Linked DNA regions of Mus musculus: all the other regions are reported to be linked to region 4. The links are microRNA targets in miRTarBase. Many come from high-throughput screens and were not tested one by one. Region 4 holds a microRNA gene; each other region holds the end of a gene's coding sequence. Distances are between the middles of the regions.

Region 1 (4,067 bases), not on the chromosome of region 4:
TAAGATCACTCATTGCTCTTCCGAAGGTCCCGAGTTCAAATCCCAGCAACCACATGGTGGCTCACAATCATCCGTAATGAGATGTGACTCCCTCTTCTGGGGCGTCTGAAGACAGCTACAGTGTACTTGCATGTAATAAATAAATAAATAAATCTTAAAAACAAAACAAAACAAAAAACTAGACGTTGGGCCAGGCATGATGTCCCACCTACAAATCCAGAACTAGGCAGATGAAGCCAGAAGGGTCTGTTCAGTCAGCCTGGACTACACAAGACTTTACTGTGTGAAAGGAGATTTCAGTGGAGCTAGCTGCCTGCGAGTTGTATATCCATAGTGCCGAGAGAGCCTCTAAGCAACCCCAGGAGGCTCACGGGCTCACAGGGCTGATTTGGGTGGGTTCCTTCAGTTTGCCATCAGTGCAAGGTGAACAGATGTGTGCTCATGCCTCTCCAGGAAGCCAGGCAAGAAGTGGTATGAAGCAGTTAATAAAATTCTCCCAGTGCTAAAACCCAATTTTTTTGGCCTCACAGGTGTTACACACAACTGCCCACCTTCTCACCAGGACACAGCATGCAGAGAAGTTTAGTAAACTGGGATTGAAGTTATGTGGAGAGTGCACCATCTTGCTGTTACCACGCAAGCCCAGCTTGGTTAAATCCATTAGCGTTGGGGCTGGTGAGATGGCTCAGTGGGTAAGAGCACCCGACTGCTCTTCCGAAGGTTCAGAGTTCAAATCCCAGCAACCACATGGTGGCTCACAACCATCCGTAACAAGATCTGACTCCCTCTTCTGGAGTGTCTGAAGACAGCTACAGTGTACTTACATATAATAATAAATAAATCTTTAAAAAAAAAAAAAAAAAAATCCATTAGCGTTATTCCTGTTGAAGCAAGTCATAGGGGAGCCCAAAGGTGGCTTTCTGAGCAGTGCAAGGCCTATTGCAGCCTCTTAGAGAGGATATGAATGACTATGGACAAGTCCACCACCACACCACGCCCCAGTGCTGGTGATCACATGCCTATCTCTTGAATGGTACAAGCTGTGTTTTATTACAGTGTGAGACTTATAAAGAGTCTGGAAAATACTTGGATTTATAACCCACAACTGAAACAGCAAACCCTAGTAAACAGAGCCAGTCTGGCTACGGGAGAGGGGTGGCGTGAGGCTGTCTGGATGAAGCAGCTTAGGGGAGGCTTTTGAGTTGTGTGTGCGGACTCAAAGCAGGAAGCACATGTCAGTACTGACTGCCATCAGACAAAGCTGGTCTCTGCCTCCATCCCGCGGAAATCCAATGCAAGGACGCAAGCTTCCTTGTAGAAAGGACCAGACATCCAAAACAGAAACGGGAGGCAACTGGGGAGATAACTGGGGCACATGGAGAAAGGAAGAAAAACAGAGTCACCCACACCAATTTTACCATCTCAAAAGACAGAATATGAAAGGAAGCAGCAAAGCAGCATCCATCAATGCAGTCACCTCAGCAACAGGCAAGCACTCCTTAGCTTCCCATGCTGATCCCAAGAGGCTCAATTTTGTTTGTTTTTTAAATTTGTTTTATTTTTGTTTTCCATACAGGTTTTCTCTGTGTAGCCCTGGCTGTCCTGGAACTCACTCTGTAGACCAGGCTAGCCTCAAACTCTGAGATCTGCCTGCCTCTCTCTGCCTCCTGAGTGCTGGGATTAAAGGTGTACACCACCACCGCCCGGTGGGGAGGCTCAACTATAAAAGCCAAATCAGGCCCATCTGCGGGGTCTTTTACTGTAGAAGTAAAGGAAGCTTGCTGGTTTCCAGTGGGTTACTGAAGAGGAAGCCAATATCATACTGGGTAACCTGCAAGGCCTCGTGACCTGTGACCTTTGCAAATTTTGTTTTGAGACAGAATTTTTCTGTGTAGCCTTCCTTGGCTGTCCTGGAGCTCACTCTGTAGACCAGGCTGGCCTTAACTCAGAAATCCGCCTGCCCCTGCCTCCTGAGTGCTGGGATTAAAACGTTTGAGCCACCACACCTGGTCTTTGCTGATTTCTTAATGGGGCTACGGTGACTCCACAGCCTCAGCCTCAGAGGATGCATCAGGCTCTCAAAGCACTGCTCCAGGGTAGAGACTGCCAGCTGCTCAGCCCACGGAGGGACACTTGCCTAGAGTCTGAGCTCCGGCTTTCAGTTTCCCACCCAAGAATCAACCGGACTGCGGCCCAGGAACTCGTTTGCTTCGCAGGACTTCCTTCCCAACTCCTCCTGGGCTTGGCTGTGAGCTCACAGGGCATCCTGGTGGGACTGACAGTGGTCACAATCACACAGCTACAAGACTGGCTTTATCTGACAGTTTCTCTAACCTGTAACAAGGTTTGGTGGCATACACTATAATACCAGGAGACCAGGGCAGCAAGATCCCAAGGGTAAGGCCAGTGCGGGTACACTGAGCTCCAGGCCAGTCTGAACTTGTGAGATCCGGTCTCCAGCAAGCCCCCACCCCTAGGCGGTGGGTGATACTGCAGTTGGACATTGGAGGGAGAGACAGCAGAAGAGAACATCTTCAGCTTCAAGGCAAATCTGAGGCTGGACTGGGCTACATGAGACCCTGCTTCCAAGAAAAAGTAGGGGTACTCAAGTCCTGTGGAGGTTAGGGGTGTGGTCTCTGGAAGGTTGACCACATTCCTCCAGTGGAAGATCCCACACCATGAATATACTGACAGCACAAATGGCACTTAGTAGGTTATTTATTTAAAAAGAAAAAAAACAAAAGAGGGCAAGAACCTGGGAAGTGGGTACGAGGGGAGGTCTGAGAGGGACTTGAGATGACAGGAAATATAGAAATGTACTATGTGCATGTACGAAATTCTCAAAAATAAGTATAAATTATATATGTATAATACATATTCCTCAGAGTCTAGCCAGCCATGTCAGTATATGCCTCTCATCCCAATACTAATGAGGCAGAGGCAGGGGGATCTCTGTCAGCTCAAGGCCAGCCTGGTCTACACAGGGAATTCCAGGATAGTCAGGATTACACACTGAGTCCGTCTCCAAAAGGAAAATGACATCAAATCATTACTCGCCAGAGTCATCCCCACTCACTGGCTCATAATCTAGAGAATTCCCAGACAGGCTATGGCCTAATTTGCACAAGACGTAGCTAGGCACAAATCACACTTTTAATAATGCCTCAACCCAGAGAGATTACATCAGGCAGCCAAAGCGTCTCTTCCACCTCGATGCCCAGGCTTCGACCATTCTTCTCCAGATCCTTACACTTAAGGGAGCCTAGAGAACGAGGAAACGCCTCCAGGCCCAAGCACGGGGCCAGCTGAGGCAGCTTCCTGCAGGCAGATCCCAGGAAACAGTCATCTCTGGAGAGGAATAATGTTGCAGCTGTAAGAGAAAACAGAGACCGGCTCAAGCCTGACAGCTCCAGCCTAGGAAACCTGCAGGTGAACACTTCTTCTCTTTTAAAGACTGTTTGGTTTTGGTTTTGGTTTGGTTTGGTTTTTGTTTTTTCGAGACAGGGTTTCTCTGTGTAGCCCTGGCTGTCCTGGAACTCACTTTGTAGACCAGGCTGGCCTCGAACTCAGAAATCCACCTGCCTCTGCCTCCCGAGTGCTGGGATTAAAGGCGTGCGCCACCACTGCCCGGCTAGAATTGTATTTTTTAATGTATATTTTACAGTGTTTCATTGTGTATATAAGAGAGTCTGGGTGTGTGGCACGCAGAGCCTGCAGGAGTCAGTTCTCTCCTTCCACCAAGTGAGTCCTGGGATCTGACTCAGGTCAGAGATTTGCAGAAAGACCTTTACCTGCTGAGCACTGGTCACTTTTCTTTCTCTTAAAGACAATGCCCAGGGATTGAGAAGTGAGACTCTCAGGTGACCTGAGGACTCTTGCCTGTAGCCTCATTCATAAAAACGGTTATTAACCACCAGTTTCTGCACTCTGGGGATGGCTATCCTTTAGTGGACCTGAGTGTTCTATCTGAGCACACTCTCTATGGGTACCAGCATCCCCAGCTCTATCTGAGCACACTCTCTATGGGTACCAGCATTCCCAGCTCTATCTGAGCACACTCTCTATGG
Region 2 (4,067 bases), not on the chromosome of region 4:
TGTTCTTTCTTGAATTTATGAATAGGAAAAGTCTAAGTAGCTATAAGTAGACAGTGTCAGGAGACAGCAACCAAGCAAAGCTGTTGGTGCTGCCTGCTGTCCACATTCGGATATACTTCAGCCTACGGTGGGATCATATTCTGAGGAACTCATCTCAAATGGAGGCATTTTAAATAGAAAGTGCATTTAACGATAATAGCTGGTGTGGCACAGTAGCGTGTGTGAGCTCCCTGGTAACCCTGTGGGAGCCGGGAGCTCTGGCTGCTTTACAATCATACCTCACCCAGAATTTTGCTAGGAAAGATCCAATTTGAACTTGCTTTTGTGTCACTTGAAAGGTTTTTTTTTTTTTTTTAAGTGGCTGTACATTTATTAGTGGTTAGAAATCGCCAGGGAGCATGGATAAGCATCTTGATTCCAGAGGTGTGTGAGGAGGATTCGGTTGTCATGACAACTAGTCATTTCCATGAAATGCCCCTAGTTTACTGAACTATGAGGAGCTTTGATAGAAGCTGTGCTTTCTCTTAAACACTTCTCCTTTTGCTTTATTTCCAGACTTCCAGTCAAAAGCGGCCCCTGGAACTGGAGGTGGAGGGTATGCCGAGCACAAAACGCCTGTCTGTGTGTGGGGCTGTGTTGTGAGCTTTGAATGTGAAAGAAATGTGCTTCCTTCCACGCTCCAATTGTCTTCTCCATCTTGACATCTTTTTTTTATATGTATATATTTTTTAAAAAATATAGCCAGGCAGTTGTGGCCCACTCCTTTAATCCCAGCACTTGGGAGGCAGAGGCAGGCAGATTTCTGAGTTCAAGGCCAGCCTGGTCTACAGAGTGAGTTCCAGGATAGCCAGGACTACACAGAGAAACCCTGTCTTGGAAAAAAAAACAAACAAGAAACAAAACAAAATAGCCTATATGATGGAACAATTGCTTTTCCATCACAGATACACGATTAAAAAACGTGGAAATCTGGGCTGATTGTTTGATGACCTGCACTTTAGATTTCTTTCTTTCTTTCTTTCATTTTAAGAAAAATGTTAGGGGGTGGTGTTGAGAGATTAACACCACTCCTGTTGAGGGCTGCAGTTCAGTTCCCAGCACCCATGTAACTACATTTCTGGATCGGATGCCCTCACCTGGCCTCTCTGGTCACCTACTACACATGTGTTCATGTACACAGAAACACATAATCATTAAAAAGAATATTCTAAAACAATGTTAGTAGTTTGTTGTGGCTTTTCATCTGGATCCTCACATTGCCAGTCTGCCCTATCAGGATGTCACTCTGGTTTTAGGCTCATCCGTCTAAATACAAATTCTAAAAGTCCCTTAGAAGGTCCAAGTCCCACTGGCCATGGTAATCTACACCTATGATCCCAGCACTCTAGAGGCAGGACAATGTTTGAGTTGACTTTGAGGCCTGTCTGATCTTTAGAGCAAATTTTAGGACAGCCAGGGTACACAGAGAAACAATCTCTTTCTCTAAACTTTCTCTTTTATCTTTAAACTCTTTTTTTCTCTGTCTAAACTTTTTCTCTGTCTAAACTCTTTCTCTCTCTCGTTTCTCTATCTCCCAACTTTCTTTTTCTCTCTCTAAACTCTCTAAACTTTCTATTTCTAAACTCTTTTTTTCTATCTCTAAACTTTTTCTCTGTCTAAACACACTCTCTCCCTCTCTCTCCCTCTCTCTTAACTTTTCTTTCTCTTTCTCTAAACTTTTTCTCTTTTCATCTCTAAACTTTTTTCTCTCTCTAAACTTTCTATCTCCAAACTCTCTTTTTCTCTCTAAACTCTTTTTCTCTCTCTAAACATACTCTCTCCCTCTCCTTTTCCCTCTCCCTCTCCCTCTCCCTCTCTCTCTCTCTCTCTCTCTCTCACACACACACACACACACACACACACACACACACACACACACACACACACACTCAGTCCCTTGGAAAGAAAAGGGCATCTGGATGTTGGGTGATTTGTACTGGCTGGCTGCCAAGGAGCCCATGGTGCTGCTGCCTGTTATAGGCCAGTCTGAAATTCATATCCCTTAGGGTTCTCACACTCCTGTAATCCATCCCAGACCTTGAGAAGCAGAAATAGTAAGATATTGACTTTGAGGGCAGCCTGAACTGTATAGTGAGACTTTTGCCTTAAAAAATGGATAAAACACAGAAATTATGCTCAGTCCTGTACAGTTTACATCTCTAAACTCCTGGGGCTACATTAAATTCAGATATTAATATCTCCCCCACCCCCACCCCACCAACAGTTTTAGGCAGGTGATAGAGTGCTGCTTTAAATTGGGTCCTCCAGCCATCCATGTGGTAGACATATAGAGAAGTAAGGGGGGAGATAGAGATGTCTCTCTAGTGGTTAAGAGCATTGGTTGTCATGCTGTCACTGCGGGTCATGTCTGGGTCTGTGGTCATGTAGTAGCAGGGGCCTGTTGATTTCTTGGATCATATTACTACATAGACCATGCAGACCTCCCTGGTCTGGGCTGCTGTGTGGGAGAGACCTCATAGATATCCAAGGGCTGATATCCAGATATCCAGAGCTGGCCCCACCCCTGACTGGCTGCAGCAATCAGGAGAGCAGGCCTTCCACCTTGCAGGAGCAGCACAGAGCTGGCCCCACTGCCATGATGGGACATGGGTGCAGTGGAGATGCCCTCCCCCATCCCTCAACACCTGAGGCAGGTCCTAGGTCATGAGAACAGGCAGGACTTGGGAGAGTGGCCTTGCACCTTGTCTGGGCAACAGCCAGCTCTGAGGGAGTGAGTGGGAGAGCTGGCCCAGCCCCTCACTGCCAGCTGCAGTATTGGGTGAGCTAGCAAGGGCAGTGCTAGAAAGCTTGCCCTGGTGGTGCAGATATGAGAGAGCTGGTGGGCTAGCCATCTGTCTCAGCTACCACCCAGATCCAGCGCTTTGAGTTGTCCCACCCCAAAATCTAATTCATCTATGAGCTGCTGGAGCATGTGCAAGGGCTGGTCCTACAGATCCAAAGCTGCAGGATTTCCATGATCCAGGCCAACAACAGGATAACTAAGAGGAGTCCTGTGAGGATCCAGTATTGATAGTGTTGCAGAAGCAAGAAGACTCAAACCAGACCAGTGACTAAATGCAATGAACATTTGCAAGATGTGTGGACAAGAGGGTAGGTATACTGTAGAACACACCCTGGCACACTATAGTGTCCGTGTCAAAATGCTCTCCATGGGGTGTGTTTGTGGGGAAGTTGCAAGGGAAGAGGGGGATGTGAAGGGACGGGGAGATGAGTGAGATTGGGGTGCAGGTGCATAATGTGAGACTCACAAAAATAAATAAATAAATAAAAAGTTGAAAAGCATTGGCTGCTCCTCCAAGAGCACCTGAGTTCAATTCCCAACATCCTTATGGTACCTCAAAACTGTAGCTAAGCAGCATGGTGGCGGCCCACGCCTTCAATCCTTGCACTTGGAGGCAGCTGCAGGTGGATCTGAGTTTGAGGCTAAGCCTGGTCTACAGAGTGAGTTCCAGGACAGCCAGGACTGAGAAACTCTGTCTCCATAAACCAAACATTAAACCAAAACCAAAAGCAAACTCCATCTTGAGTTGAACTCATCTTAATTTTGAGACCTTTTAAATAAAAAAAATGCATTTAGTAATATTCCAATAATGCACACAGAGCTCCCCTGGAAACTCCATCCATGATCACAGTGCTGTCTGCTATGACAGAGGAGGCGGCTGCTGTTGCAATCAAGGCCATGGCAAAATAACTGGCTTCCAGGGTGGTGGTGGTGGTGGCAGCAGCAGTGATCCATGAGCCTACAGAGGCCCCTCCCCCAGTCAGGTTCTGCTCTGGCTGGGACCTTGGCTGGACTCCTGTTCAATTTATTTGATGTTTTATTATGGTTTTCCTCACCCCTTCAAACTGTCGGGGAGACCCTGCCCTTGTCCTAGCTACCTTGTCCAGGAATGAGGGAGCCATGGCCTTGGTGAAGCTACCTGCTTCTCTCGCAGCCCTGATGGGGGCAAAGGGATTTGGGTACTGATGTGTTAGAATAGCAGCTAGTGTCTGACATTGCTTACCAG
Region 3 (4,067 bases), 8.1 Mb from region 4:
CAGTCCACAATGATACTGAACTCACAAGACTAATATATGGTAGCAGAAGTCTTAGTTATAAAGGGTCCCAAGATGGTGGGAGATATATTCCAGGAAATCTGACTGAATTCCTCTACCTCTGGCATCCAAAAGAAATATATCATGAAGCCTTTTCAGATCCCCCAATTTGAAAAGCCCACAGGGGCTGGAGAGATGGCTTAGTGGTTAAGAACACTGATTGCTCTTCCAGAGGTCCAGAGTTCAATTCCCAACAACCACATGGTAGCTCACAACCATCTGTAATGGGATCCAATGCCTTCTTCTGGTGTGTTTGCCCATAAGTGTATGACTACTACTGCCTCTGTAGAATATGACAGTTATAACATTATGTGCATCAGTACTTAGAATAAGTTAAGAATTTAAGCAATCTGTCTAGAAAACAGATGCTGGTCAGCCAGCCAGGCACTTGGATGACTAGATATTAGTCACTGTCTGGATTGCCGGAGAATGTTTGGAACCCAGAATACTAGATGCTCAAATGTAAGTAGTACCTACAGTTTTTGTTGTTGTTTTGAGGCAAAGTCTCCTTATGTGGCTCAGGCTGGCCTCAAACTCATAGAGCTCTGACTGTTGTGTCACCTGAGTGTTGCGCACCTGTGCCACAATAACCAGCTGTCATACACATTCTTAAGAATTCTTTGGGAAGAAGCTAAAGTGTTTCTTGTTTTCTTCCTGCAGTTTTGGCTACCCTGATCCTGATTACCTGAAACGTGTCAAGGAGGAGCTGAAAGCAAAAGGCATTGAGTAAGGAAACTGCAGGGAAGATGTCTGTCCACTCTCAAAAGACATGTGTCAGGAGGCTGGATAGTACAGACCAAAATCTGTTTCTAGAACGACTTTGTAACATTTTTCATGTTAAGTAGTCTGTTTGCCAGTCTTTTCTAGAGTGGCTGGCACTCTTTCATGGAAGGCAAACTCTACAGGCACAGGTTGGGGGGAATGGCCCTGTCTACAAAGCATGAAGAAATGAGCTCAGATCTGAAATTATCCATGGAAAAGCCTGGTGTGTTGGCATGCACTTGTAATCTTAGCACTGGTGAGTAGAGACAGGAGGATTCCTGGAGCTTACTGGCCAACTAGCCTAGTTAAAACCATGAGCTCTGGATTCACTGAGAGACCTTATCTCAAGAAATAAGGTGGATCGGGACATGGGGGTGCATGCCTTTAATGTCAGAACTTGGAAGGCAGAAGCGGGCAATCTCTGAGTTCCAGACCTCACCTGGTCTACAGTGTCCAAGTCCCAGGACAGCCAGCTATACATAGTGAGACCTTGTCTCAAAACAAATATTAGGAAGACAGAAACAAATATATCTAACATCATCCTCTGTTCTGCATACACACCTACACACACACACACACTGGGGAGCGGGGAGATAGAAAAGAAAACTTTATAGTTTTATAGGATTTCAATTTTTGCTGAAGAAATCTGACGTCATTCTTGTGTTACGGTTGGGGTGTTGGGTGAGTCTGTAATCATCTTCTATGTCCTTACATAATGGAACCTTCCCTGATTTTTGTTTGCTTTGTTTATTTGAGACAGGGTCTCACTGCATAGCTCTGGAACTCAATTTGTGGACCAGCTTGGTCTTGAACTTAGATCTGCCTATATCAGCCTCCTGAGTGCTGGCATTGCCTGGTTTTTTGTTTGTTTGTTTGTTTGTTTGTTTGTTTGGGGGTTTTGGTTTTAGCTTTTTTGGTTTGGGTTGATTTGGTTTGGTTTAGTTCGGCTTGATTTGATTTTGATGTTGGAATTTAAACCCTAGGCCAGTGAGTTCCATCCCATAATTCTTTTTCATGTCCATCTCTGTAGCAATACATTAGTTGTTTATTTTTTAATCTCTTCCTGAACCCTTGTGTAAGTGGGAAAGTGAAACCCTTGTATAAATGGGAACTTTAAAAACAGGTTTGGCAGCCGGACGTGGTGGCGCACCCCTTTAATCCCAGCACTTGGGAGGCAGAGGCAGGTGGATTTCTGAGTTCGAGGCCAGCCTGGTCTACAGAGTGAGTTCCAGGACAGCCAGGGCTATACAGAGAAACCCTGTCTAGGAAAAAAAAAAAAAAAAGACAACAACAACAACAACAAACAGGTTTGGCTGGAAAAGACTCATATTTCCTTCCCTACCCATAGCAAGAGAAGTTTCCAGGAGATGAGGCAACTTTTGGTAATAAATAGAACAAAAAGACTTATATTTTTCAGGACACAGAGCCTAGGAGATACTGTGTGACTACTGCCTGACTCAAGATGCTAGTAGCTCAGCAGAGGAGTGAATAGATAAAAAGATATGTTCCCCAAATCTTCGGGAGAGAGATGACTTGAGACCGTGACATTCATTTGGAAAATAGTTTTCTTACCCCAACTTGTACTGATTAGACACTGACTAAGCCTTGAATTTGGGCTCTACTCTCCCCTGATCCATGGAACCTGTCCTAGAGGATGCACTTGCCCTGCCACAGAAGTGCAACATAGTTTTTATATTCTTCCCTACACATTATGTTGTACTTTTAGAATATATATTGTTTCAAGTTTTAACGGGTAAATAGCCTTCCCTTAGTTTAATATTTCACAGTATTTGCTACCTGCAATGTAGTGGCTTTTTGTTTTTTAATCCTTTGAGCGAATCCCAGCAGTCTGTTATCTCATATATAGTCTTTCTAATCCTTTCCCTGGACAGGAGTAAAGGAGAAAGTTCAACCTACTGTAGAGTCTGGATGGCACATCACAGTTCACTGTAAGTGGTTCTCCAAGTTAGAAGAAAACCACAGCAGGCAATGACCTGGTGATCTGTATTCCAGCCACTCTCCAAAATGGTAGATGACACCCTAACCTTCTCCTTAAGACACATATGCACATACATAAAACCATTTTGGCCAGATATTAATAGGAAGTATTAATCAAGTACTTATCCTGTAAGTACTTAACATTGATGGGATCAATCTGATTAATAGCTCTATTCTTTGAACAGAAAACTCATATACAGAGCACAGTAGTCAATCACTGAGGGTGACATAACCAATAAGTAGAAGTGCTAACTTTTACTTTCATCCCCATTTTGGTTTTTTTGTTTGTTTAGATTTTTTTTTTTTTTTTTTTTGAGCCAGGGTCTCATGTAACCTAGACTGGCCTCTCCCTATGTAGCCAAGGCTATTCTTGAACTCTGACCCTCCTGCCTCACCTCCTGCCCAGGTTCTTGCATGTATCCTAGGCAGAGCTCTCAGGATCTGCTTCCACAGCCTTCCAAGTGCAAGGCCTGCACCATCATAGCTGCCTTCTGCATCCGGTTCGGACCTTTCCCTTTGGATGATTCACCAAGTGTTTATCATTAAGACCAACTGATCATTTTCTGTCTTCTAATCTTGTAATCAAATTTACTCTAAAGAAGAAAAAAATGGTTTCTGTTAAGTTCTGGATCTTTTATTTCATCCAGTGTGCACATGCAAATTCCACGTGGTGGAGGGCTCAATGACATTTGGATTTTTTTCTTTTGCAAGGTGTTATTATCTGCATTAAATAAAGTCAGGTCCTTACATACAACAGACTGTGTGGTTTCCCTCATTCCTTGTTACTGTGTCCTTAGGTTGGACTTCTGGGTGTTTCCTATGACACATACAATATGCAGTGGTGTGTGGAGGTATTTAGGTTGGTGTTTGTGTAGCTCCAACATCTCAAAACAACTCTTTTAATTGTTTTCACTTTTGATTGAAAAAAAAATCATTTTTCTCCATATTTTTTCTGCCTAGTGAATTTAGGTTGCTATAGAGACAAAAGTAGACCACAGAGCCAGTGAGCTAGGTCCGAGGGTAAAGGCACTTGCTGCCAAACTTGACAACCTGGTTTTGATGCCTGGAGCCCACAGAGTAGAAGGCAAAAACCAGCCCTTGCTAGGCACCCCTGACTGGCACATGCGTACCATGCCACCCCTCAGTAAACAAAGGAGTTTTACTTTTATGCATGTGCGTGTTTTGCTCACAAGTTTGTGTGTGCACTGCATGTATGCAGTGCCCGAGAGCATCTAGATCTCTTGGAACTA
Region 4 (4,067 bases):
ACGAGGATCCTGCTCCACATTTTCTTAGAAAACAGTCACCCGGAGAAGAAGACAGCTTCACTGGTGACCTCCAATGTGCATGAGAGACTCGGTCTAGATACGTATTCTTTCCTGCTTCAGACGCTACGAAGTTCACAGGTCAGCAGAGACCTTGAAGGCCACTGAATCTAACTGTTCATAGATGGGGAAACTGAGGCCTGGGAATGTCCAAAGGTTTGCCTGAGATATCTCAGCTACAAAGCACAATCCAGATCCTATTGACTCTCAAGGTCCCAAGGCTCTCCGCGTTAGTAACCTGATTTTCTACACCTTTTCGGTACCTAAGGACTACTAGTAAACTTTATTAATGACAGCAGGGTAATGGAAAAATGTGAACTTTACAGGAAAGTTATAAAATATGCATGGGTAGCCATGTGAAAAAAAGACTATAAAAATATTGATGTAAACTGAGACAACATAGGTTGGAGCAGACTGCCCAGAGGAGAGGAGCGTCTGTGTATGTATTCAGACTTTCAACATATTTACATTATAAGATTTGGAGGGCTGCAGAGATGGCTCAGCCGCTACCCGATAGGCAACCAACCAAAAAGGCAAATGGTCCTTGGATCTTGGCTTCTCTCATTTAGCCTAATGTAAAATGCTACAGAATTTTAATGTATTATCTTTGTTTATTGAGGCTATGGTCTCAATTAACATTGATAAGGTACATTTTTTTTTAACTTGGAGAGTTAGTAAAATATTCACACTTCTTAATGAACAGCTGTCCAAATAATCTCTCTACTAATTTCTTTATCACACTATAGCAGCACATGACCCTGACATTACCATTGCTTGCATCCCCCACGGCACGGTCAGCTCCTTTGACTAAGGTGATCGGTGTCTACTGAATGTGGGACACATGCCACGGTGCTAGGGAGACTTTGAGGAAAAGTCATGAAACCACCCTAACCCTCAAATTGCTCTAGTGTCTCCTGTGAGATCTCACCAGCCCCTGCTCCAGATCCTTAATAAAAAGGCTTTCTAGTAGTAAATTCTAAGAGTCATAGCCTCATCTCTAACATTTCTTCACGTCCCACACGTGCTTACCAACTTAGCAAATGAGTCTCTTCTCTCCCAACTTGCACTCTACCAACAAGAGGGCAAACCGCACCAAACGATGAGTTCAAAGAAATTCAGAACTGAAACGACCTACAATGATCCCACTGTGATGGGCCATAATGCACCTTGACACTCTACGTTGCTTCACTGTACCTTGGCTGCACATTTTCTTCAACTGATAACAAGTGTTCCATTTCTTCAGCGTTTAAGCCTAGCTCCGTGCCATAGTTCTGCTGGAGCAGTTGCCAGAACTCCTGTCTGGTCAGGCTCTAAGATGACAGAAACATTGCGTGACTATTGGAAAATGCAACAGATAACGTAACTGTAATTCAAAGCACAAAGGCCAAAGTCAGAGGAGCCGTGGTGTGAGCAGTCAAGGTGTGGCTCGGATAGATCCTGGCCTATTTGTCTCCCTATTTTCTATTTTTAAAAAAAAGGGTTAATGGGAGCTGGGCATAATAGCTTAGTGGTTGAGAACTGCATATCATCCACAAGGCTCTGCAGAGCTCCATCCCCATCGCTGAAAAGGAAAGGTTAAATATGCCCATTTGATAAGAGACATTCAAGAGGAAGTCCCATGGATAAGAGCACTGGCTGCTCTTCTAGAGGACCTGGGTTTGATTCCCAGCACCTGCATGGTGGCTCACAACCACCTATGACTCCAGTTCCAGGGGATCTTCTGGCCATCTCAGGCGCACGAGTGGTGCACAGACCTATATGTAGGCAAAAATGTAAGAATAAATAATTAAACCAAGAGTTAAATCGATAAACAGATAATCGTTTCTCACAGGGTTTAACCACATTCTCAAGGCCGATCTTGGGCTTGAGCTATTCTCCAAAGAAGTTGAAACTAAAAGGCACATTCCACTTAGAAAATGGTGGGTTTTCAAAGTGTGTATTAAAGAGGCTACTGTGCAGAAGTACACTTCAGTAAAGATGCTTAAAGTGATTTTTTTTCTATAAAAGTAAGTTACTTATCATTTCTGCTAATTACTGATCTGAAATCCATACAACCTATGATCACAATTCAGAGTTGTCCTAAATGTTAACTCAGAACCAAATTTTTTTTTTTTTCCGAGACAGGGATTCTCTGTGTAGCCTTGGCTGTCCTGGCACTCACTCTGTAGACCAGGCTGGCCTTGAACTCAAAAATTCACCTGCCTCTGCCTCCCGAGTGCTGGGACTAAAGGCATGCGCTACCAATGCCCGAGAACCAAAACTTCTAATTCACGATTGTATCTGAATATTTTAAGCATTTTTAGAACTTTGCACACCAATGAGCTCCAAATTACATTTTCCTAAAATATAAAATGCAAGAAAACAACCTTCAGAATACTAATTTACTTTTAGTAAATTCTAGCTTGCTTCCTTTATAGACAGCATGTCAGTGGTAAAGTTACCAAGTACAGCCGAGAAATGTACCCGTGGTTAAGAGTGCTTGCTGCTCCACCAAAGGACCAGTGGCCACATCCTAGCTCCCACATGAGGCAAGTCACAAACATCTGTAAATCTGTAACTCCAACTGACACACCCTTCGGGATTCCATGGGCATCACACACACACACCGACCCACTTAAAAAAAAAAAAACCTTAATCACCAAATAAAGCAAGCTGTAAACTATTTGGGAAAATAACATCATATCATAGTAACAGACTGGTCTCCGGGAACATTGCAATTAATTACATGATTAAGCAAGACAAGAGAGAGAGACAGCATGGTACTTGAAGCAACTGTCAATACGATCTTCCATCCATTCCACAGGTCTTTATTGGGAATGAAACCTGTGGCACCGCTCTAGATCCAAAGGGTATAAAAACAATCTCCGAATTTAGTACTCATGTCTGAAGGATACAGGGCACTCTTAAATCAGATGCACATGATCATGTGCTAATGGGCTGGAAGAGTCTATGGGATAGGGAAGTGCAAAAGGAGTTAATATTATTGAGGACCAAGGTGGCCAGATGAGGCTCCACCGAGGAGATAGGCTTCTGGGTAAGCTAGAGGACAGACGGATTCGTGAAGAAAAACTAGAAGAGATGGAGAGAAGACGACCAACCCATAGGGAGGGCAGAGATGGACAGAAGTAACATTAGTTATGAAGCTAGCAAGTAAGTCATCTCCTAGCCCAATCAGAGAAATGTTTCAAAGTTAAGAGGTTGAATGTAAAAATATATAATGGGGCCAAATGTATAAAGGCCCTGAATTCAGCCCCGGTGTTCAGCCCCTACAACAACCACCACCGCCTTTCCCTCCTCCCAGGAGCAGCTCTGTGTCCTGGTTTTTACTAGATGACTCTCCTTACACTTCATGGAACCAGGGAGCTTAAAAGGAAAATGGTCTGGACTTGCGGCAGCTATATCCCAGTTTGCCAAGATGACCACAAAACCAGCTGATGACAATTCAGATGTCATTATCTACACTTCAAAAATGTCAAAAATATTCAAAAACCTGCAATAAAGGAGGCAAGCTAAGAAAAACATGCCTCTTTGCTTCCAGCTGATTATGTGAACGCGGAGTAGAAATCCCAGGTTGGAGAACTCTAACTGAAAAATCACACATCTAGAAAACAAACTCTGCGATGCTCTCTATTTCCTACAACTGTCCTTTTAGCGGATGAAGTCTTCTCAAGTAGAATATCCAGAGAAGAAAAATATAAAGGCCCATTAGTGACAGTTAAGGATGCTCCTGTCCTTGGTCCTAAAGGGACTCGCCTTCTACCCCAGAGATTCTGTGTGGATTCTGTTTTCATAACAATAATTCATACTGTGAATTAACTAAGTCTTCCAGAGACATCATCATTGGAACCGTTTTCATATCGCAAAAGGATGGTTAGATAGCTTTACCAGAAGAAGGCGATTTTTCAGCACAACTGTGTTAGATTATTAACCGTTCACAAAAACTTTTTTTGAAATAATAGACGTTTCCGAAGATAAAAACTAAAGCAAACAAATGACTTGGTGGTGAACAC
Region 5 (4,067 bases), not on the chromosome of region 4:
CTTTCTTATAGAATCCAAGACTACCAGCCCGGGGATGGCACCACCCACAATGGGTCCTGTCCCCTTCATCACTAACTGAGAAATGCCTTACAGCTGGATCTCATGAGACATTTCCTCAAGGGAGGCTCCTTTCTCTGTGATAACTTCAGCTTGTGCCAAGTTGACACAAAACCAGCCAGTACATCAAGGATGAACTTGAACAACTCCTCCTCCTCCTCCTCCTCCTCCTCCTCCTCCTCCTCCTCCTCCTCCTCCTCCTCCTCCTCCTTCTGGTTTTTCAAGACAAGGTTTTTCCTGTGTAGCCCTGGCTGTCCTGGAACTCACTCTTTAGATCTGATTGGCCTCAATATTAGAGAGATCCACCTGCCTCTGTCTCCTAAGTACTGGGATTAGAGGTGTGAACCACCATCACCACCACCAACAACAACCGGCAACTTTGAACTTCTAATCCTCCTGCCTCTACCTCCAGAGTGCTGGGATTACGGTTGTGCGCTGCAATACCTCATTTTATTTGTTGGTGAGGGTTGAACCCAGGGTTTCATACATGCTAGGTAAGCACTCTGTTGTCCGAGTTACATCTCCAGATTAATATGGCTGATGTCTTACCCCTTTCTGATTTACCTTGTAGTTCCTCTGCAAGACTCTCTCCCAGGCATGAGATAAGTATTTATCATTTTGTGCCTTGCGTCTCTTGCTGAACAAGGTGGTTTCTGTGTGTGTGCGCAGTAAGATTCTGCCATCTGGCCAGAGCATTTGCTCAATAGAGGGAGCTGCTACTTTGTAACTGCTCTAGACAAGGCACGGGCTTTCAAAGCTGATGTCCGCAGACCATCCAAGTGTGGACCACGAGCGGAATCTGCACATCTTCTCAGGGACAACTAAATTCATGGAAGTCTAAACCAACCAGGGTATCCCTCCTCTCTTAAGCTAGCTCAGGCTCAGGGGGGCTCGTCCCTAGGGGAAGTTGGCTTTGTGGTGGAAGAGGCCAGGCCACTTCAGTGTCTAGAGGTCTGGAGAACCATGGCTGCTATTGGAGCCACGGAGAGCCTGCCCAGGAGGAAAACTGGCAAAGTGAGTGAGCGTAGCCCAGCCAGGGGCAGGAGAGAAACCAGGCTCTGAAGACATCTTCAAGCCACCAAAGAGGCAAGCCGGGAGCCAAGCTCTCCTCACCCTACCCCCACCATACCCCCAATTTCCAGCCTCCCCTTGCTTTCTTTTTCTCTTTTTTCTCTTTCCTTTCTTTTAGTCATTTTCTTGTCTCAGACTTAGACACCATCATGCCTAGCCTGGACGTCTTTCTCAGCAGACTTTAAAAATAAATAAAGTGACGGTTTTAAGTTCATTATAAGCTCCGTCTCCAGCACAGTTTCCTGCTCTCGCACCCCCCACCCCCACTAAAATGAGCATTTCAACTGTGGGGATTTGAACCCAGAGCCCATAGCGGGGACTTCTTTGTACTCTGCCTCACTGGGGTTTTAAGAAAACTTCTCTGTCTTGTTATGCTGAGTCACAAGCTGGAGGGTGTGGGCGGTTCTGGTTCCCTCAGCCCTGAGGTTGGAAACACAGCTATTCACACAAGAATAACAGATGTTCTTTGAAACAGTTGTTGCCAGGCAAATAACTGCCGGACCTGCTGGATGGGATACCTTTTGCCAACCTATGTTCTGTTTCAGATGCTACTTCAGCTCGGCCAACCATGGGGACCTTGGTGACCCCTGAAGGAGACCCTCTCATAGTGGGGCTCCCTCCCAGACCCTGAATTAGTCACAAATCACATCCAAAGACCGGTTTTCACAGAGAGACCTTTTATTAAGCGGTGAAGAAAAGTTAAAGTGGCTATTTTCTGACTCAGACAGAAAAACAGCAGCAAATGACCTTGCAGGTGTAATTTATAAGAATCGGGAAAAGGGGAGGTCTGTGTTAGAATGGGCTGGGTGCCTTGGTATGTTTTGATTGGGCGTATTGGGTGAACCAAAGAGGGCCTTTTTTTTTTTTTTTTTTTTTTGATTTTCGAGACAGGATTTCTCTGTTGTAGCCCTGGCTGTCCTGGAACTCACTCTGTAGACCAGGCTGGCCTTGAACTCAGAAATCCTCCTGCCTCTGCCTCCCAAATGCTGGGATTAAAGGCATTCACCACCACTGCCCGGCCTCAAAGAGGGCCTTTGATTGCTGGACTTCAATACTTTGATAGGGGACCTTGGTAGTCAGCCTAAGGAGGAGAAACTGGCCAAATAAGGGAAGAGACTTTGGGGGCTAGCTTTAGGAATGCAATCTAATGTTTTGTTGTTGTTTTGTTTTGTTTTGTTTTGTTTTGTTTTGTTTTGTTTTGTTTTAGCAAGGCAGAGAGAATTGGGGAAAAGGGGAAGGCCTGCCAGAGCCATGCTTGCCAGGTCTAGGCTAGCTAGAGTCCCTTCAATGCCAATAGCTGCAGGGATGAAGGTAGGCTGGGTCAGTTTGAGCCAGAAAGGATACTCAGCAAAGCTATCCCTCAAACCCTAGTCCCCCTTCCATGTTCATATGGGAAGCTGATCTTCCAAGAATTCTGGCTCCTGAATCTGCCACTAATGAACACACTTTCCTTAGCTGCAGCAGCTAAGGAAAGTTCTGAGGTTTGTAATTAGGCCGGTGGTTCTGGGAGGGAGAGAGGTCATGGAATTTATAAATGTTGCTAAAACGTGTTTCCCCAGAGGTGGAGCCTGAGTCAGGGGCTCTTGTGAAAGTTGTTTATTAAGAGGGCTCTTTGGAGAAAGTTTCCAGAGAAAGAAACCAGGCCTGGGATGAGACAAAGTACTGGAACATCTATCATCCTGGTCTCAGGAGAAATGTGGGCTGTGATGCCACCCAGACAGTCCAGCCCAATGATGTCCTTAGCGCTGGGGAGAATGGCTAGCCAAGAGAGGCTTCCAAAGGACGGCCCCGGAGCCTGAGCTATTATGCAGCAAGAGATCCCAGCGAAAGCACAACGGGCAAGAAACAGCAGGCCAAGCTCCAGGACCCACCGAGTGCAACAAGACTGCAACTTCCCCCACCCTTAAATCCCGTTGTTGTTGGAGCCCATAATGGGCTTGGTTCTAGGGGACTCCTGAATCAAGGTACCACCAGAGGGTACCACTGAATCTGAAATGGGGCAGGGCTGAACCTAGAGGTCTCATAGCTTAGTTGGGGGAGAACACAGCATCAGAGGGCTGAGCTCTGACCTTGGTCCAGAAAGACCAGAGTTTGAAGGGAGAGGAGTGTCACCGTTAGAAAGATCAAAAGGGTCCTTTACAGTAGAAAGGCACCAAGAGGAAGTCCTCAAGGCCAGGCCCTTTTGCAAGGAGACCTTGAAAAGCCAGCTGGTCCAGGAGACTAGACACCAGAGTGGGAGGCAGCAAGCTGCAGGACTTCAATGCTTGAGATGTCCCAGGACAGGGTGGAATCCAGGGGACAGACAGAGTGGACTCCCTTAGCATGCTGGAGTCTTGCCTTTGCAACGGGGCCGCCAGTAGTAACGCAGGCGCTTATTGTAGCTATCCAGGTTTTGCTTCAAGCACAAGGCCACCTCCTTGTCACAAGCACACAGTTGCCTTTCACACCAGCTCCCGTTGTCAGCTGTGGGCAAAAAAAACAGGAACGGCTCAGCATGTGTCCCTTCCCGAGACTGCCTGTGGGGTGCAGAAGGGGTCCTGAAACCAACGTGGTGCTTGGTCATCTTTGGAGATAGCCTCTTTGATTGGATACTCTGTTACCTAATCTCGCGTCTGCACACTGAACAACCGTTGAGCACCGTTCCGGGGCTTATGCTAGAGGGAGAAAGCTGAACCAGGTGAGCAGGTGGGAAGGCAGGAGGCAGAGGGCCACAGAGTGAATGAACATGGCCAAGCAGAAATGTGGGGAATCTAAGCCTGTAGGAGGATTAGGCATGTCAAGGAGCCATCCCCAGCTCAGACCACCGCTCCTCCTGAAAGCTGGGGTTGCTAGCGTCTCCACAAGGAGAGCATCTGTGTTAGCTTCCGCGCGTGCGCAGTTCCATTAACCTTAAGGTGAGGTGTTACAGGGCCTGATCGTGGTAAAAGGAAACAAGACCA
Region 6 (4,067 bases), not on the chromosome of region 4:
ACCAAAGCATGTTCTGGTTATTGTTAAGTTTCAGGCTCTTCTCACTGCTAGATTTACATATTTCAATAATTTGTTCTTCAATTTTCCCCAATCTTAGTTTCAGGCATCCTCCAAGAAAGGTATCAGTCGACTGGATAAACAGATGAGAAAGTTCACAGATATCAGGAAAAAAAGCAGATCTGCACATGCAGTGAAAATCAGCATCGAGGGCAATAAAATGCCATTGTGATCTTGCCTGGGACGTGTCCCCATCTCTAAAAGAAAGAAATGCACAGTGGACTATGGAGAAAGAAGATAATTTTAAATGTCTTAGTGTGTCTCTAAATGGTTCGATTTGTATCATCTGTTGTTGTAGGACTAACATTTCTCTCCGTTGTATTTAAGACCAGTTGTCTGCTTTGTACAGAAGAGTACTTACTACTCCTGCTTCTATCAACTGTACGTAATAAAATTTCATTATGGTTTTGGGGGGTTGTCTCATCATTGTCTTAGACACTATTCTCTGTGAGATCAAAAGCCAGTCCGTTTCAGTGTGTAAGTATGATATGAGGAATTTGTCTGGCCTTTGTTCCTGGCTCCTGACAAGGAATATCTCAAACCTTTACAATTCTTGAACTATCTTTGTTATACTCTTGATTTGGCACATCGTAGGGCCCTAAGTTCGCTCTAAGACTGGTCAGCAGAAATATGCTTGACCTAGTCGTATTGCCTGTTTGATTAACCAGCCATACCTTTGTATTGAAGCTATAGTAAAGAAAAGAACTCTGGACAAGTCAGGTGCCTTGCACACCTATAATCCCAGCATTTTGGAGACTGATGTTGAAATAAGAGGGTCATGAGTTTGAGGCTAGCCTGGATTACATGGCAAGACTCTTAACTGCTCTGGATACTGCAACTATGTTGATGTGCAAAGAGAACAAAGGCACAGAAGCTCTGCACCACCCTCCATACTACTCCTGAATCTTCATTGACCTGGTTGGCTTAATTTGTATCTTTTCTAATAAGATCAGTTATAAGTATAACCTTTTATTGAAAGACATAGTGCTTTTCCAAGTTCTATGAGTCATTCAGCAGGTTTTTAAACCAAGAAATTCTTGGGAACTTGCCTGGAAGTTTATAGCTACCCTGGAATTTTCATGGTCTAAAGATATCACTTGCAGTCTATGTCTGAAGTTGGGACAGTCTTGTGGAGGAAATCTGATCCCTAGAACTGTCAATTCTTACACTAACACCGAGCATTTGGTATCAGAATTGTGTTGTATACCACTGTATATGCCTATAATCTCAGCACTTTGGAGGCAGAGGCAGGAATTTTGGGAGCTCTTCCAACAATAACTTTGAGTTACTCAAAGACTGTTCAAATAAAGATGGTATCTCAGTAGAGTTGGAAATACAACAAGCATACTTTTTATTTCTCTTGTTAGAGATGCTTTGTTTGTTTAAATCTGAAGAGTTAAGCTGTGGGGAGAAAAAGTTAAGAAAATACAGATATAATTGAAAATTAGTTACATATAGCAATTGGACAAATAGAAAAAGGAGAAACTATTTATAGTTTCTTACTTGGTTTTGAGAATTCTTAATCATGAGAGATTTCTATAGATCAAGAAAGTTTTATCAGTAACTCATTCATTACTTAAGTCCTCTTCTAGTACAAACTGGAGCCTTGATTTAAAAAAATAGATTATTATTGGCCACAATGGCCTTTGGACAATTGAAGGAATGTGGACTTCATGGACTAGAACACTCCATAAGAACCTCTCAAGCCTGGTGTGGTGACACACACCTTTAATCTCAGCATTTGGGAGGGAGAAGAAGGCTGACCTCTGAGTTCATGACCAGCCTGGCCTACAGAGTGAGTTCCAGGACAGCCAGGGCTACACAGAGAAACCCTGTCTTTTAAAAAGAGAGAGAGAAAAAAGAAAAGAGCCTCATAAAGCCTCATTAAAGTACACTCAGCATGCAAGAGCAAATGGAGTGTGAAGCAGAAACCTACAGAGCCAACAGTTACAGACTAGGTGGTGGCAAAAACTACCTCTGGCTTTGTTTAATTTCATTAACTAAAAACAATAAAAGCATCTAATGAATTCAAAACAGTTCTGACATGTAAAGCAAGTTTTTAAGAGTTATTTTGGTGTCTTGGGATGAGCTTCACGTAACACCATGTTAATGGGAGTAAATATAACCAGCAGGTGATAAGCCCTTGATTGAAGGAGATGGTTCTGCACTACTTGAAGGGAAAGATGCTAATTTCTTTATAAATTACCTTTGCTGTGTGGATTGGGGGGGGGGGGTCCCCAAGCTTGACCCATTCATTGCCTTCATAGTTTCCATTTACTATAGTTTCTAGAACACTAAAATTAGCTCCCATTTACCCTTCAATATTTTTCAGTGTGCCACATTTTATATTCTATATCCAAGATTTCTTTTGCAGAGCATGTGAGTATAGTTTATCAAGAACCTTTGTTCTCAAGCTCCATATCTAAGCATATTTCTCTTAAAAACATGTTTTGTGGCGGGGCAGTGCACATCTTTAATGCCTGCATTCGGGAAGCAGAGGCAGGTGGATCTCTTGAGTTTGAGGCCATCCTGCTTTGATTGCATTTTAGGTCAGCAAGAGCTACACAGAGAAACCCTGTCTGAGAATAGAAACAACCCATGGTTTTTAGGGGCTAGATCATACAGCTCTGTTGGTAGAGTGCTTGCCTAGCACGCACTAAGTCTGGGTTCCATCCCCAGTACCACAAATATCTGGCCTGTCACCTTGCCAACCTGGCCTGGCTACATGGCAAGAACAAAGCCAGCCTGGGCTACTTGACAGTTCGTCTCAAGATTGGCCACATTAACTTTGACCTCTTGTATGGAATGCTGGGTAGTCACTTTTTGGTTTGGGTTGTTTTTTGGTTTGTTTGTAAAATGCTTTAATTTTGGCAAAAGATTTGTATCTTTACCACTTTTAACCATACAGCTTAGGTGCATTGACTGGGTTCACAGTGGTATGAGCCACCTTCATCTTACAAACTTTAGCTGTACTGGGCACAGTAGTGCACGTTTTTAATCCCAGCACTAAGCAGACAGAAGCAGGACAATTTCAGAGTTCAAAGTCATCCTAGTCTTTATAGAGAGTTCCAGACCAGTTAAGACTTGCATAGATCCTGCCTCAAACAACAAACACCTTAGCTCCTTCCACCAGCTCTTGACAAGTTCATTCTGCTTTCTGCCTCTGATTTAGACTATTCTAGGAACCTAGAATTTAATTTATGGGGGGAGGGGAACCATGGTATGCATATGGAAAATCACAATTTTATGGAGTTCTTGCCTTCGACCTTTATTTACTTGGATTCTAAGGATGAGACAGGTTGCAAGACTTTAGTGGCAAGGATTTTGACCATTTGAGCTATCTCACCAGCCTGTTTCTATGTATAGGTGATAATGCTTTGCCTTGTGCTTTTTTAAGTGACTTTTGTAACTTTGGCCCTACTGTTAAGTCTGATCCATTTGAGATAATTTTATGTTGTAGAAAGTTTACTTTTATTTCTGTACATCTTTGTTGAAAGACTGACCCTTACTGCTCTTGGATCCCTTATCAAAACGTATCTGACAGTATGAGGGTTTTCTTGTATATTTTGCTCCAGACTTTTAGTTCATTTTGTTTTGTTTTATCCTCATTATCCTGTTTTTACTTCAGGAACTTTATAGTAAAATTTGAAGTCAAGTAATATGATTTATTCACTCCAGTATTGTTTTGGTTGTTGGGATTCCTTGAAATGAAGGGGAAAGTGTGTATGAATATGTACGTGCCTGCCCCACAGCTGCATGTGGACGTCAGAAGACAACTTTCAGGAATAGGTTCTTCTTCCCCCTGAGTTATGTGGCTTGCACTGCCCACACTTTTACCTGAAGAGCCATCCTTCTGGGCCCCTCCACTTTTCCATTCGATATGTTTGGACTCTGGGCTTCTTTGAGGTTTTGTATGACTTGTCTGTATAGCTGTCATTGGGTTTTCAACAGAGATTGGGTTACATTTGCCTTTTGAGGAAGTCCTGAGTTTTAACAATGTTAAGTCTTAT
Region 7 (4,062 bases), not on the chromosome of region 4:
TGTTTTTGGAAGATAATTTTAAAATTATATTATCAAACTTGCTTTCCATCTATCCTCTTTTTTTTTCTCCAGCGATTAGATCACCTTAAGGTAATCACCAGGTAATTTCTTTTTCTTTCCCCGTCACTCCAGCTCACAGAAACCATGACTGAGAGTTTGGGGATCTGTTTTTTGACAGTGATTGGTCCTACTTTACCCAGTGTCTGAGTTAAACACTGACAGACCAGAAGTTAAAAGCATGCTTCTGCTGCTCTAGTCAGTGCCATTCATTGCATCACTTTTTGACTGATGTCTTACATTTTGTTGAAAAGATTCCAAGAAACCAATCCTTATCCTTTTTCCCCTCCTCTAGCTTGTATATAGTGGATACAGCAAAGAAACTCTGAGGCAGAGAGAACTTCAACTGAGTGTACTCAGTGCAGAATCACTGCGGGAGAATTTCTTCTTGGGTGGAATAACCCTGCCACTGAAAGATTTCAACTTGAGCAAAGAGACAGTTAAGTGGTATCAGCTGACTGCGGCAACGTATCTATAAACTTCCGACTTCTGAGCTTTGGAAACAAGGAGTTATAAATGTGTGCGCATGCGCACATACACACACTTGGGAACTTTGTATAATTTCATACTTTGGCAGAAATTATAAACTTAACATGTTGGACCAACTGTCAGTCATATGACTAACTTTTATAGAAGCCATTGCTATTTCAAAGTTATTTTGTTGAGTGCTACCAATCCCAAACTTAATATATACTAAGTCCTGAAAAAGACTTTGACATAATACTGTGTCATTTTGGTCACCTTGTCTGTACTCTTCCTACACAGACACAGCAAATTGTTTTTTGTTATGCACCTCACAGCCTTTACCACTGTGTATGTTCACAGACACCAAAGGAAAGATGCAGCTGCTACTCAACAGGCTGAAACGCAAAGCACAAATAGTAGTCAGAATGCTGAGAACTACTAAGTCGTTTATAGAATAGAAAAAAATACGATTTTTATTCATTGTTAAAGCCTTTTCAGAGTAAGTGCCAATGACTGAAGTTGTAAATAACAGTGCCTTACTTAACTACATGCTTCACTGGCACTCTACTTCTGATTAAAGAGCAAGTAGTTTTCATGCATTTTCACCTTACTGAGGACAGCAAGTCATGCACATTTACTAATGGTTTCTCCACAGAAATACTATTTCCTCTACTTCTGGTTGTTTTCACTATTAAGCTATTTAACTTAATGTTTATTGCCCCGTAATTGAATGAGATTGATATTCAAAATTAGTATTCTAAATTCTATCATTCCATTATCATTTGTAAGGGTGTGAACTGAAATTGGAGTTTCACTTCCATGTATTTATACTTTACTCCCTCATTAAACAAATGGAAATTGTTCAGCCTTATTCCCTATTTTGTTTGGTAACGTGCTCAGGCAGGATAAGGAGTTTAATTTAGACATTTATGGAAGGTGTTGTGTAAACTGTCCTGTATTTGGAAACATTGTACATTCACATGAAAGAATTATTTTCTGTAATATACTGAAATGAAAATTGCAAGAGAGAAGTGTGAAGTTACTGTGGAGTAGCCATTAAGAATAAGATTCATTTTTAAAGCCAGGCATGGTAGCACACGCCTTTAATCCCGGCACTTGGGAGGCAGAGGCAGGCGGATTTCTGAGTTCGAGGCCAGCCTGGTCTACAGAGTGAGTTCCAGGACAGCCAAGGCTACACAGAGAAACCCTGTCTCAAAAAATAAAAAAAGATTCATTTTTATTCCCCATTTCAGACATAATTTTGTTTAGTTTTGATAAACATGTATATATAATAAATTTCTTGGTTAGAAGTTCAAATATTTTTAGAAAGGTAATAGAGATGTAGCAAATTTGGTAGTTAAGAGAAAACTGACAAACTACTTAATGAAGGGTACCAAGAAAGGACAATCGGATTCAGTTCGCTAGAATAAAATTTTTATGAACTGTACAAAGTGATTGACAGAAATGATGATGCTTACAGAGTTAAATTAAGAGTTAAGAGTGTTATCATTGGAATACATTTTTTAAAAAAAATCAAAACTTGAAATATTTGGTGCCTAACACTATGGTCCATTTGTAGGGAAACCTGTATGAGTATGTGAATTTTTTATATTAAACTGTGTTGTCTACTTGATAATTGAAATGAAGATCTAAGCACCGTTGTTTGCTTTTTCCACAATTAACATTTCCTTAAATAGTTTTGCAGATGTAAGTAGCACTAGAATATTTTTTTTCTTTTGAGAGAAACCTAATTCCATTCCATGGGTCACCCAGACTTAAAAAAATGCTGTTTGTAAAAGGTCGTCATTGACTGGACTCGTGGACCTTTTTGTGATCTGTTACCGTGTATCTTAGCAGAAACAGAATTAAAAATGTAATGTCACTTCAGTGACAAGAAATCTGATTAATATCTAAAAGTATATATTATAAGTAATACTGTATAGTTAACAAGAATTCAAAAGGTGATACTGTCTCTTAATTTTACTCAATTTGTGCCTTCTTTGGTCATTAGAATACATATATTTTAATGTAAGTTATTTCTTTGTAAAATGCTAATCTTCAGCCCATACCAAAAAAACAGTGATAGGGAGGAAGAACGTAGCCTCTGTGCACTGCGGCTGCAGTCACCATAGTCAGCTGGCTTCTAGAGCTTCTTAACAGTCACCTTAAAATACATCGGAAAACGAGAACGCTAGACAGGCCAAGACACTAATGTTTATGTATATCATATTTATAACTACCTTCAAGTAAAAATAAGTCTGCTACATACAAGTCCTGTGCCAGAATTCTTTGTTCTTGCCAGTGCTCTAGGATCTGAAGATGATCGCTCATCCCAAGAACCTGTTTTCTCTGAGGAATCCAATGAGACTGGCACCAATGCTTTATATTACTGTGTTTATGGGAATGAGTTGTTAAAGCATGTGTATCTTTTTTAAGTACTTTTTTTTCAAATTAAAGTTGTATATAAAGTTCAAAATCTTGCCTTAAATTGTTTAATTCTTTCTAAGACTCATGAATTGTAACATTTAAAAAAATTCACTTTTGATAACTCAGATTTAAACAAACACTGAAGACCTGCTATTATGATACACATTTACTTACACGCTGTTCACCAGCAATGCAAACATACATGTGATTACTAGTGTCGCCTGTAAGAAGAAAATGCTTTAATTATATCAGCATAGTGAGTTAAGATGTATAATATTTTTATTAATACTTGGAATATATTCATTGAATTAAATGTGACTTCATAACTATACTACAATTAAAATATTTCTGAAATAAAGGAACTTGGCTGTCATTTCCTTCCTTCTTGATTCAGTATTTTGGTTTTAAACTTTAATAATTATTGCATCTTACCCAGGAGTTTGTAAAATTTATCCTGAATTTGAATGTGATTCTTTGAAGGTCTAGATAATCTGCTACAGCCTATCATTTCCTGAGATGTGAATTCTGTAGGCATGGTTCTTGGTCTGTGAAAGTTCACTTAGCCACATTCGGAAGTGCAAATTAACACCATACCTTTATTCTGGATTATGAGCACAAGACTGGCTCTCTAACCATTCTAATAATTTGGAAAAAAAAAAACCAGTATAAAGACCTTGAAAGGACAATTAAGGGGCTGTTGAGATGGCTAAGCGGCTAAGGGCACTAGCTACTCTTCCAGAGGTCTTGAATTCAATTCCCAGCAACCACATGGTGGCTCACAACCATCTACTAGAGGATCTGATGACTTCTTCCAGTGGGCAGATTTATATGCAGCAGAGCATTCATACATTAAATAAAAAGCCTCTGGCTCCCAAAATCTTCAGAGAGAGAGATGGCTTATGTAAGCTTATCCTTTGAAATAACTGAGTTTTGCCTGAGTGCCAAGCTGTTTGCCGGTACTAGAGTTCAAACTATTGCAGGTAGTGGGCTAGAGAGATGGCTTAGTGCTACAATGGCTTTCTGTTGTAGAAGACTAGAGTTTGGTTCCCAGTACAAAGTACAAGTGCTTATTACTCTAGTTCTTACCCAATATCGTCTTCTGGCCTCTGGGCA

Evidence for each region. The annotated mature microRNA mmu-miR-3470b reads UCACUCUGUAGACCAGGCUGG and lies in region 4 at 2,215-2,235, shown strand. An mRNA with a match to its seed (bases 2 to 7 or 8) in the 3' UTR can be bound and repressed. Matches are read on the target gene's strand: a 7mer-m8 pairs with bases 2 to 8, a 7mer-A1 pairs with bases 2 to 7 and ends in A, and an 8mer does both.
Region 1: miRTarBase lists Psmd9 as a target of mmu-miR-3470b. Seed matches in the 3' UTR shown: 8mer at 1,918-1,925 and 8mer at 1,610-1,617.
Region 2: the mRNA of Chek2 is a reported target of mmu-miR-3470b. Seed matches in the 3' UTR shown: 8mer at 828-835.
Region 3: miRTarBase lists Dtx3l as a target of mmu-miR-3470b. Seed matches in the 3' UTR shown: 8mer at 2,037-2,044.
Region 5: miRTarBase lists Pla2g2d as a target of mmu-miR-3470b. Seed matches in the 3' UTR shown: 8mer at 2,054-2,061.
Region 6: the mRNA of Iws1 is a reported target of mmu-miR-3470b. Seed matches in the 3' UTR shown: 8mer at 1,849-1,856.
Region 7: the mRNA of Pik3c2a is a reported target of mmu-miR-3470b. Seed matches in the 3' UTR shown: 8mer at 1,689-1,696.

What each region holds. Positions count from the first base shown.
Region 1 is chr5:123,247,596-123,251,662 of GRCm38, reverse strand. It overlaps Psmd9 (proteasome (prosome, macropain) 26S subunit, non-ATPase, 9), which reads right to left. Exons shown (of 6, transcript NM_026000.2): 6 at 1,537-3,370. The coding sequence ends at 3,343. Among named protein-coding and RNA genes, the nearest start is that of Wdr66, 4.2 kb to the left of the region's middle.
Region 2 is chr5:110,872,925-110,876,991 of GRCm38, forward strand. It overlaps Chek2 (checkpoint kinase 2), which reads left to right. Exons shown (of 15, transcript NM_016681.4): 15 at 556-1,216. The coding sequence ends at 642. Among named protein-coding and RNA genes, the nearest start is that of Ttc28, 4.8 kb to the right of the region's middle.
Region 3 is chr16:35,926,019-35,930,085 of GRCm38, reverse strand. It overlaps Dtx3l (deltex 3-like, E3 ubiquitin ligase), which reads left to right. Exons shown (of 5, transcript NM_001013371.2): 5 at 718-3,571. The coding sequence ends at 787. Among named protein-coding and RNA genes, the nearest start is that of Parp9, 10 kb to the left of the region's middle.
Region 4 is chr16:44,011,671-44,015,737 of GRCm38, forward strand. It overlaps Mir3470b (microRNA 3470b), which reads left to right and starts at 2,182; the gene lies at 2,182-2,307. It overlaps Gramd1c (GRAM domain containing 1C), which reads right to left. Exons shown (of 17, transcript NM_001359085.1): 6 at 1,252-1,367.
Region 5 is chr4:138,779,772-138,783,838 of GRCm38, reverse strand. Pla2g2d (phospholipase A2, group IID) reads right to left here. Exons shown (of 4, transcript NM_011109.3): 4 at 1,787-3,591. The coding sequence ends at 3,446. It overlaps Gm32871 (a long non-coding RNA gene), which reads left to right and starts at 3,475. Exons shown (of 3, transcript XR_390866.3): 1 at 3,475-3,805.
Region 6 is chr18:32,097,053-32,101,119 of GRCm38, forward strand. It overlaps Iws1 (IWS1, SUPT6 interacting protein), which reads left to right. Exons shown (of 14, transcript NM_173441.3): 14 at 98-4,067. The coding sequence ends at 229. Among named protein-coding and RNA genes, the nearest start is that of Iws1, 31 kb to the left of the region's middle.
Region 7 is chr7:116,336,514-116,340,575 of GRCm38, reverse strand. Pik3c2a (phosphatidylinositol-4-phosphate 3-kinase catalytic subunit type 2 alpha) reads left to right here. Exons shown (of 33, transcript NM_011083.2): 33 at 353-3,300. The coding sequence ends at 535. All of the region lies in intron 1 of Gm10589 (a long non-coding RNA gene), which reads right to left. Among named protein-coding and RNA genes, the nearest start is that of Rps13, 4.4 kb to the right of the region's middle.